2 linked regions of the Saccharomyces cerevisiae S288C genome follow. The gene in region 1 interacts genetically with each later gene. Each region holds a gene or a part of one and is shown on either strand. Other genes may lie near its edges.

What was found. A genetic interaction does not mean that the proteins touch.
Region 2: of YFT2 (region 1) and SEI1, changing one enhances a phenotype caused by changing the other (phenotypic enhancement), as found in Saccharomyces cerevisiae (one study listed by BioGRID).

What each region holds. Positions count from the first base shown.
Region 1 is NC_001136.10:1,102,785-1,108,608, reverse strand, and holds YFT2 (Yft2p), read left to right. Parts: upstream 1-2,781; coding exon 2,782-3,606; downstream 3,607-5,824. Other genes in the region: DAD4 (Dad4p), read left to right, coding at 111-329; auxilin-like protein SWA2, read left to right, coding at 508-2,514; MCM21 (Mcm21p), read right to left, coding at 3,662-4,716, 4,800-4,851; HIM1 (Him1p), read right to left, coding at 5,181-5,824. UniProt on the Saccharomyces cerevisiae protein: Fatty acyl-coenzyme A (CoA) diphosphatase that hydrolyzes fatty acyl-CoA to yield acyl-4'-phosphopantetheine and adenosine 3',5'-bisphosphate. Preferentially hydrolyzes unsaturated long-chain acyl-CoA substrates in the endoplasmic reticulum (ER) lumen.
Region 2 is NC_001144.5:925,077-930,252, forward strand, and holds SEI1 (seipin), read left to right. Parts: upstream 1-3,666; coding exon 3,667-4,524; downstream 4,525-5,176. Other genes in the region: zinc-coordinating transcription factor SFP1, read left to right, coding at 492-2,543; DUS4 (tRNA dihydrouridine synthase), read left to right, coding at 4,713-5,176. UniProt on the Saccharomyces cerevisiae protein: Involved in lipid metabolism and lipid droplet (LD) morphology, number, and size. Facilitates initiation of LD formation, and ensures that vectorial budding of LDs from the ER is directed towards the cytoplasm.

The DNA of each region.
Region 1 (5,824 bases):
TTTTTTTTCATCGAGTATTTTTTCACACGAACGGCACAAGTAGCCTTCAACTGTAATAAACAAAAGCAGATAGGGAGGAAAAGAAGTGAGTTTAGGAAAGAAAGCATAACATGGAGAACCCTCATGAACAAGTGCAGGCTAACATACTTTCGCGAATAATTGGTAATGTCAAAAGGCTCAATGAGAGCGTGGCAATTCTTAACCAGGAGCTTGTGACCATTAATAATCGGAACAAAAATCTAGAAATCATGGGCGCAATTTGTGATAACTACCATAGTAGCGTCCAATTCAACCTGGAAGCGACCAATAACAAGAAGCCACCTCTTTAATTCACCAATTTTCTATATACGCATACTCATATACACATATATATATGCTATACCGTTTCTAATATATTCATTTAAGATCACTGTTTCCTGCGAAAAGGAGAAAAAAATAACAGCACATCGCTTAACCTATTCCTGTGCTTCTGGAAAGGACGCAGCCTGCAAGAAACAGTCAACATCAATGTCAGATCCATTTGCACATTTACTGACTTCTTTGAAGAATAAGGACTCTGCATCTGCATCCAAGGAAACAACTCCTCAGAGCAGCAATTCGCCTTCCATTACTGGTTCCGCTGTTGCAGATGTTGCAAGGACGGATAAAAGCCCCAATGATAGTCTGCATTCAATTTCAGCTCCTCCGCTGATACCGTCACCGAAGGTAGATTTTTCTGCACCTCCTTTGGTCCCAACTAATAGCACCACTAAATCTAATACTGCCAACAACACACCTCCCTCGGCTCTTGCCAATACCGATGACGACTTCAATCAACTATTTGGTATGGGCACAGTAACTACAACGGATACGATCCAAAAACCGGATGAGGATTACTATGGAAGCAAGGAAGACCACCTTTACAATGGTGATGACGCCTTAGTTGATGAAGTTAAGGATATGGAAATAGCAAGATTGATGTCTCTAGGTTTATCAATTGAAGAAGCCACTGAGTTTTACGAAAATGACGTAACTTATGAAAGATATTTGGAGATTTTAAAGTCAAAGCAAAAGGAGCGCAACGATCTAGCTATAAGAAAGAAAGAAAGTGGTATAAAAATGGAAAAGTCAGGATTATCCAACATTGTTGGTACAGATAGCAATAATTTATTCAGCATGGCCACTGATTTTTTCAATAAGGGTAAGAAACTGGTAGACCAATGGACCTCCTTCCCACCTGAGGCAAATGATAGACTGAATAATTACTCAAAAACTCATGATAAGGTTGAGGATTATGATTTGCCTCAAGTAAACGACTCACCCAATAGAATTTTGTTTGAAGATAATGAAGTCGTAGAGAACTTACCACCTGCCGATAATCCGGATCAAGATCTTTTAACTGATTTCGAAACAAAGATTGATATAACAAAGAGGACAGCGCCTGATGTCTCCCACTCCTCCTCACCGACTTCTGGTATACTAATTGAAGAAAATTCGCGAAGAAATGAGCCCCTGATAGAGGATAGTCTTCTCGACTTTTCAGAAGGAAATCTCACCAATAGTAAAAGCAATGAAGATAGCACCCTCTTCAATGAAAACAGCAACACTGACTCTACAATACCCATCTCAGATATTGAATTATCGGGGTATAACGAATTTAAGGCGAAAGGTACTAGTTTGTTCAAGAACGGGGATTATATTAACTCATTACAAGAATATGAAAAGTCTTTAAATACATTGCCTTTAAATCATCCATTGAGGATCATTGCATTATCAAACATTATTGCCTCGCAACTGAAAATCGGTGAGTACTCTAAGTCCATAGAAAACTCCAGCATGGCTTTGGAATTATTCCCATCAAGCAAAGCTAAGTGGAAGAATAAAATCTCAAATAGTGACCCTGAAAGATCATTTAACGACATCTGGCCAAAGATTATGATTAGGCGTGCTGAGTCTTTTGAACATTTAGAAAGTTTCAAAAAAGCACTAGAAACATACCAAGAGCTGATTAAGAAGAATTTTTTTGATGATAAAATCATGCAGGGAAAAAGAAGATGCCAAGACTTTATTAATCCTCCCCCTGTTAAAAAATCCATGCCCGTTAAGAAGAAGACAACGACAACCTCGCCTGCAACAAAAAAACAGAACTTAACCGCTTCTTCTTCAAATTCTCCAATTTCTGTTGATAGCACTTCAGAAATAAAAAAACGGGAGCTAGAAAACGCTAAACTGGCGCTATATGATAAAGTATTTGAGAAAATTAGCTCCTGGAAGGATGGCAAAGACGATGACATTCGTCATCTGTTAGCAAATTTATCCAGCTTACTAACATGGTGCAATTGGAAGGATGTCTCTATGCAAGATTTGGTTATGCCTAAGAGGGTCAAAATTACATACATGAAAGCTGTAGCCAAGACACATCCTGATAAGATACCAGAGTCCTTGTCCCTGGAAAATAAGATGATTGCAGAGAATATTTTCAGTACTTTAAGTATTGCTTGGGATAAGTTCAAACTGCAGAATGACATTAACTGATTTCCCTTGTGTGCCTGCTTCGCTCAGTTGTTTTTGATATGTACTTTATACAAATATATATAGGAAAACAAATTCTTCAAAGCGCGTTAGGAAAAAGTATGGAAAGGCTTAGTTTCATTTATTGACTTACAAGTGGCACCCAATTTGATTAATATGAAAAACAATCTGCAAAAAAAAAAAAAAAATTCAAAATATCACAATGTTAAAACACAATAGAAATAGGGCATTGTATTAAAACCACTGAACGACTAAAAATTGAAAAAGATTATGATACGTCAGCTCAATTATTGGTCAAGGAAGGCGTATCTCATTTACCCCTTTCAAGTTTTTGTAGGCGCATTATTATCAATAGTAGTATCTTCAGAAACATTAAACCATCAAAAAGAGACATGCGCTCTATTGAAATCGTCCAATATTTTCAATGTTATTTTTGCATACAAAGCGAACCAACTGTGGCCATTTTTATTCTTTAGTTTGGCTTTTCTGCAAATATACTTCCACTATCTAGCAAGAATGGATATATTGCCTTTACCAATATCAAGTACCGAAACTAGCTCTTCCTATTTAACATATACTAACCATTGGCCTCTGCTCAAAAATAGAATAATCAGTATTATGATCACTCAATATGCTTGCAAGTTCGTTCTAAAATATCTATTATTGTTTTTGAATTTCCAATTTATCGATCATGTTTTCATTTGGACAGGGGGAGAATGCAGTTCTGGTAGTAAAACGACATCAGCTGAAAAGTGCCGTCTAGAAAATGGGAAATGGGATGGTGGGTTTGACATTAGTGGACACTTCTGCTTTCTTGTGAGTATAAGCATGATTCTTTGGATGGAACTTCACTTATTCAGTAGATTTGTTCAAGCTGAAGATATGTTTTGGGTTGTGAATAAGTGGGTACGAGCTTGCCTTGCCATTGTTTGCGCTGTCCTAGTAATTTGGATATGTATTCTCTGGGTTACCGCTATTTATTATCATACTATCTTGGAAAAAGTGTTAGGTTGCCTTATGGGTTTCATATGCCCTGTTTTCATATACCACATTCTACCCAAAATTGGGATACTACACAATTACTTATATCTATGATAAACAGAGAAAATTAGCTCTATCCTCTTTCTATAAAGTATATTTTTGTTAACATTCACTTGAATATTGTCGCGAAAGAATGGTTTAATTTTAATTCCAAATCATCCAAAGAACCGAGCAATGCAATTTCCCATTTACTTTTATTATTTTGACTAAAATCATGAATATCGTCCAATATTGAACATGAAACTATTTCATTTTGTTTTACAAACAACTCGACTTTAATATCCTTCACAAAAAACGAAACCATTGAAGATTCTAAATCTAAATCTAAGTCGTGGATTATCTTCTTAGCTTCTAAGTCCTTAAAAATCTGTCGTCTTTTCTGTACTTCCACAAGTTGCAGGAAGACTCTTTTAGCAAATAAATAGGCGTCATCATGAGATATCACTAGTCCCCCATTGGTGTCATCAAATATACCTTGGACATCAATGAAACTCGGGATTGTATGCTTGAACAGGAACCAACTATTCGATTTGATCCTCTTTTTCAACAATACATAGTGAGGTTTTTCAAATTGGGATGTCCGTTCGCTGAAGACTTCCAGTCGTATTCCCAGCATTTCTCTATCAACAAATATTTCACCGCTAGCATCTTTTATCTTAAGGTCAATAGGGTCCACAAGAGGGAAAAATGTTATACCAAACATTCTATAAACATTTTCCAGGACAATATAATCTTCCAACTCACTTCTATCACTTGTACTAATATCGTCTATTTTTAGTTTTCGCTTTCTTTTTGAAGGTGACGTTAGAATGTCTGTATCCAATAAATCTGCCACCCCAGGATCAAACATTTGATGCTGAACCATTGGCTGGGTCTTTAAAACCCATTCTTGTTCTGGTAAAATTTCCTCATTCTCCAGCTTAGCTCTTTTCTTTGGTTCATACGGTATTGGCGTTGCTGGTATATCCGCTTGCGCCCTTGATATGTCCTTGTCATCTGTCTCTTCCAATTCTGGATGCTCATTAAATAAAAAATTATTCAACTGTGGGAATTGATCGAATAGATCTTCAAATTCTTGTACTATAGGATTAGCGCTCTCCTCATTTTTTCTTTTATCTTTTATCTTCGCTTTGAGCTTCTCACGACTTTCTTCTAATGAATTGACTGTGAAGATTCTACTATGTTAGTGTTCAACTTAATCATTTTTTTAAAAGAAAGAAAATTGTTACAGCCTCAAAATCACATACTTTCACTGAGTAAAGATTCAATGTCCTGCTGTAAATCATCGATTCTACTCATTGCCAGGAGCGTTACTGATAGTTTGAAAGAATTGCTCAAGTAAAGAAATCACATTTTCCCCTCATTATCCATATGGCTTTTGTTTGTTTTTTCTTCAGTTTTGAAATATGCGCGTTTTCTTACCATCATTATAAACTTAGGGAAGATCTATCATAGAATTGGTCGGCCATTACTGGCGATTAGTAAAACAATACATAAAGTTTGCATATTCAATGCGATAAAAATTTAAGACGGCCCAGGTATCGAATCCATGATATAGTGGTTCTTTTATGTATTAGGCTACTATTTATTTAATAACTTCGCATCTATCAAAAGAAAAGACTGACTGTTCACACAATCATATCAATTTGATAACTGCTAATTACTTCCAGCTTAGGTCCCGCCTCTTTACTTTTCCTTTCAATCGCCATCAAAGAGGCAACATAAGAAACCTTTGAAACTGGGACAGCGTATCCTAATAATGCAGATCCTGGCATCCTATATATACTGGAAGCAATTATTTCGCTTAACTTTGTTCTTAAGCCAATCCTTCTGGCCTCACTGATATATTTCTTTTTATAAACTAAAAGATAGTGAGGATAATAAAAAATTTTTTCCAAGAAAGTGGAGTTTTCTTTACCCAATTCAACGTTTATAGGATTTCCGTGCTGTCCACACATCGGACCTGGCCTCAAAATAACTAGCTCCTTTAGCTTATTTGGCAAAGCTTCATCCAAGTCATTTTCTAATTTAGCTTTTATTCTAAAATACTCGAAAGTTTTACTAAGAAAATCATTATTAAAGGCAGTTGTAACCACCAACCTTTTGTTAGTTGTATTCGTGAATTCTTGTGCTAAATTAAAAGGTAAGTAATAGTCAGCAAAGGAACTTGGTACCTGAGTTCTCCGCACTCTAGCTGAGGTGGAGCCCAAAGAGCACACCATAGTGCTAATATCACACAGACTAGGCAAACTTCTACCGGGAACGTAATTTT
Region 2 (5,176 bases), on another chromosome or scaffold:
ATAACGTCTTGTACATTCTAGTGGCTCCGTTAACAAGGTTTGACAAATATTACAATCAAAGAAGGATAGCGCTAGTCAATCTAATCATTAAGTTCGCTTATAAAGAGAAGGAAAGCTAGATTTTTTTTCTACTTCAATTACATATCGGTGCTTCTCTCTGGTGGTTTTCTGTTTTTCTAATATTGATCGATTTTACGGTGAGTTAAACTACTTCCTTTTATCGCAATATCATATTTAGAGCGAGAAAGCAAGAAGAATAAAGCTAGGAGAAAAAAGCGCCACGATACATTCATACTAAGTTTATAATATACCGGTCGTCTTTTGGCTTTCTGATACCATATTATATCCTCGAAACACTTTCTCTGGATTCACCTACTATTAATCACCTCAAGATTTCACTTGTAAGGCGTTTTCAAATTTATTGTTATTAAAAGACATATTCATATTCAGTATTTTTATTTTTCTTCGAAACAGGAAAAGCTTATCTGAGTATGGATTTTACAACAATGACTATGGCAAGCAATATGGCTACTAGTACTACTACGACGGCTACATCGGCACATGCATCTATAAATTCGTCATCAAACTTTAATATTGATATTGATTCGAACCAGAATACTCCTTCCATTTTGATAAATAACAATTCGGATTCTTCTAATGGAAAAAACACAGATTTTAACGGCGTCAATAATATTCACCAAAAAAATATCATGAATAATACAAATAATGTTCATTTGTACTCTCCAAATATAATGGACCAAACGCTACTAACTCCACAGGACATTGCCAAGTTACGGAGAGAATCAATAGCCCATTCTCAAGGGATGGGTGGTGTTTCATGGGGATCCATTAGTGTTGGTTCTTGGTTAAGAGATGAAATTATTAGCCGTAGAAATAGTATTGTACCTGCATCAGCAAACGGTGCTGCCTCCGCTGCCGCTTCTGCAACCACTACTGCCACTAATACTTTGCAGATTCAACAACCAACTAAGAGACCCTCTGTTAGTAATCCGCCTTACCATAGAGGGTATTCTATTTCTCCTCAGATAGCCTACACTGCTTATCTGCCAAATCTAGAAAAGCAATATTGTAAAGATTATTCATGCTGTGGTCTTTCCTTACCAGGTTTGCATGATTTGCTGAGACATTACGAAGAAGCTCATATATCCACGTCTCCTAACACTACCAATATGTCACAAATACCGATGAACTCTGCTGGTAACACTAGTTCATCAGTTCGTATGACAAATAATACCTCTTCTGCCAACTATAACCTGCAGAATAACATGGCCGCTAATACAAAAAATGCAGGTCATAAGACTAATACTATGCAGGCTCATAGCAGCAATGCAACTAATAACACCTCCATTAATAATATGCATGCCAATCTTCAGAGCAACATGGATTCCAACTCCACAATACGACAATCTCAGCATCCTCACCATCAGCAGAATATAATACAACAACAGTTGCAATCGAATTCTGTAAATCATACATCAGGGGCTGTACCCACACCGAGTGTAATGGGTTCAGCAACTGCGTCGTCCACAACTGCAAATCCAAATGTGATATCTATAACGGGTGCCCCCAACTCGGGCTTATCTATGGCTAATCACTCTCAACAACTACATCTGAATGGTAATCTAGTCGATGCCGTTTCAACGAATGATGTGTTTTTAAGAACGAGCAATTCTCCATCAAGACACGTTCCGCACAATAAACAAATTAACAGTAACAATAATAGTGGTATCAATATCAATAATAATACCTCACACAATTCTAATATTAACATGGGTAGTAAAAACGCCATGGTGAATCGTCCACATACTTTTAATAACTATTCCTTGAACAAAACGTCCAGGAATCCTATTCAACATCAATCAAGAAAAATTGATCCTCATCAAACCGATTTATCACCTCTGGTACTTGTCCAAGATATAGATTTAAGTTTTATGGATGATGATATTTTGGGCCCTAGTAACCACAATTCCATGAACTCTGTCGTAAATCCAACTACAGGTTCTCACAACTACAATACTTTTCATTCTTCCGTACACGCAAAATCTTCTCAAAACATGGTCGAGGATCAAGACATTGATGACATTGATGATGACGATGATGTTGATGATGACGATGACGATGACGATGACGATGACACAGAAAATGGCTCCAGTTCCAATGGAAAATCAGTTCATAACAACAATTACAAGATGCCTCAGCAAGCTTATATAGACGATCCTGCGAGAAGGCTCTATGTAATGGATCATGAGGAACAAAAACCCTTTAAGTGTCCAGTTATTGGTTGTGAAAAGACTTATAAAAACCAAAACGGTTTGAAGTACCATAGGTTGCACGGACATCAGAATCAAAAATTACATGAAAACCCTGACGGTACATTTAGCGTAATAGATCCAGATTCGACAGATTCTTTTGGTGATGGAATGGGCTCTGCAAAGGATAAACCATACCGTTGTGAAGTTTGTGGTAAGAGATATAAGAACTTGAACGGTTTAAAATATCACAGGGGCCACTCCACTCACTAAGATATAATTGTTTCTTTACTGAATTGATTTAGTATGCTATTTAGATACTAATTCTACCGTTACCGACTCATGCATCGAGCGGCCGCTCTTTCTCTTGTTGTTGGGCGCAATTTATGTGATCATCTTTGAACGAAAATGCATGATAAAGCTGTGCTCTTCGACTGTTACCATTAATTTCAAAAAATAAAAAGCATATCTATTATTGAAAAATGAACTTATAATAGAATAACATTTTCTTGTTTTGTCATCATTTCCTCTAAATACTCCGTCATGAAAACGATTTGCGCTCTGTCTGGTCTCTCCTTTTAGTATTATTGTTGTGTGTTTTTTACTATTCATTTTTTACTACTGTGTTTTTACTATATATATTTTGGCTTTACTTACTTCCTTCTGTTCTGATGTATTAAAAACTATTTTTATTCTAAGAAAAGAAACTTTAATTCTTCTTATTCATGCTCTAAATCTTAAATAAAAGGTTCCGTTTTTTATCTGCAATTCTGTGTATTTGTAAGTGAATTACCATGCACGTTGTCGGATCGTTTTTCTAGGCAGAAACTATCTTATTGAACCATTAAAAGATTACTTAAATATTACAATTAATCTTACGAAGCATATTAATTAGACTGGAATTACAGCGCAACTATCACAGGTTAATAATTGGTTGAGAAAATATTATAGTTTTGTTAGTAATGTTGAACTTTTATTTTATACACTTATGAAAGTAAATTAATTCAATATCAATAATAATATACTATAAGTAACTTAAAAAGCAACCTTCCTCCCAAACCTACAATCCAATCACGCTGATAAGTATTATCTAGAAAGTTGACAACACCAAGCCATATGGTCAAGAAACATTTATTGAGAGTTATTTTGTAAATAAGACTTTTCGTCATCCATATAAAGCAACCTAATTGTTCATCTAATACTAGAGTCGCTCTTTTGAAAGTTAAGTATAACTACCTCATCATTAGTTGCTACTATGTGTATAATTTGAAAATCTCAACGTAAGGTTATTAAAAATATAAATGCGCGTAAGACAGAAAAATAGAGACAGCTTACGGCAAATTATCAAAATGTGAATCCAAGGTTTCAAGAAAATAAGATAAAGTGAATAGGAAGGATGAAAATCAATGTATCCCGTCCATTACAGTTTTTACAATGGAGTTCATATATTGTTGTTGCATTTCTGATACAATTGCTAATCATTCTTCCTTTATCGATCTTAATATATCACGATTTTTACCTAAGACTATTACCTGCCGATTCCTCTAACGTAGTCCCCCTTAATACGTTCAACATTTTAAATGGCGTACAATTTGGTACAAAATTCTTCCAATCTATTAAAAGCATTCCGGTAGGTACAGATCTGCCGCAAACAATAGACAATGGCTTATCACAGTTAATCCCCATGCGTGACAACATGGAATACAAGCTCGATCTAAACCTACAGCTTTATTGCCAGAGCAAAACTGACCATTTAAATTTAGACAATTTGTTAATTGATGTTTACAGAGGTCCAGGCCCGCTATTGGGTGCTCCTGGAGGAAGTAACAGCAAAGATGAAAAAATCTTTCACACTTCTAGACCTATTGTCTGCCTCGCACTGACGGATTCCATGTCGCCTCAGGAGATCGAACAACTAGGCCCATCACGTCTAGACGTTTACGATGAAGAATGGCTAAATACAATAAGAATAGAGGACAAAATATCGTTAGAGTCTTCATATGAAACAATCTCGGTGTTCTTGAAAACGGAGATTGCCCAAAGAAATCTAATAATACATCCAGAAAGTGGGATTAAGTTTAGGATGAATTTTGAGCAGGGATTAAGAAACTTGATGCTTCGAAAAAGATTTTTATCTTATATTATTGGCATTTCAATTTTCCATTGCATAATATGTGTACTTTTTTTTATCACAGGTTGCACTGCATTCATTTTTGTTAGAAAGGGTCAGGAAAAATCCAAGAAACATAGCTGATAGAATTGTACTTCTCGCTATATAATTTTAAAACCTAGCTGTTATTTTCTAAGTAAGTAGGCTCTTCCAGCATTCTGCTTCTTCGCCCTGAATAAAAAAAAGATGATCAGCGAAAAAACTCAAAATGAAAATAAGAGATGGATTCTTCAAAGTTATAATTCATATGCAGAATAAAGATTCTAAAGAAAATGCACACAATGCATATTCCATCCGGTGATGTTCTGATACCGAAGCCGAAGCTTATTACTGAAGAAACAGATCCACTGCATATAATAAAGACGAGGCAAAAGACACATGGTCGGCCCGTGACCATTGCAGGCCCAATGGTTCGGTATTCCAAGTTACCATTCCGTCAGTTGTGCCGAGAATATAACGTTGATATAGTTTACTCCCCCATGATTTTGGCAAGAGAATATGTCCGTAATGAGCATGCAAGAATCTCAGACCTTTCTACAAATAATGAGGACACCCCGCTAATCGTCCAAGTAGGTGTAAATAACGTGGCTGATTTACTAAAATTTGTGGAAATGGTTGCCCCATACTGTGATGGTATTGGTATTAACTGTGGTTGTCCTATAAAGGAACAAATCCGAGAGGGCATAGGTTGCGCTCTGATATACAATTCAGATTTGTTATGCAGTATGGTCCATGC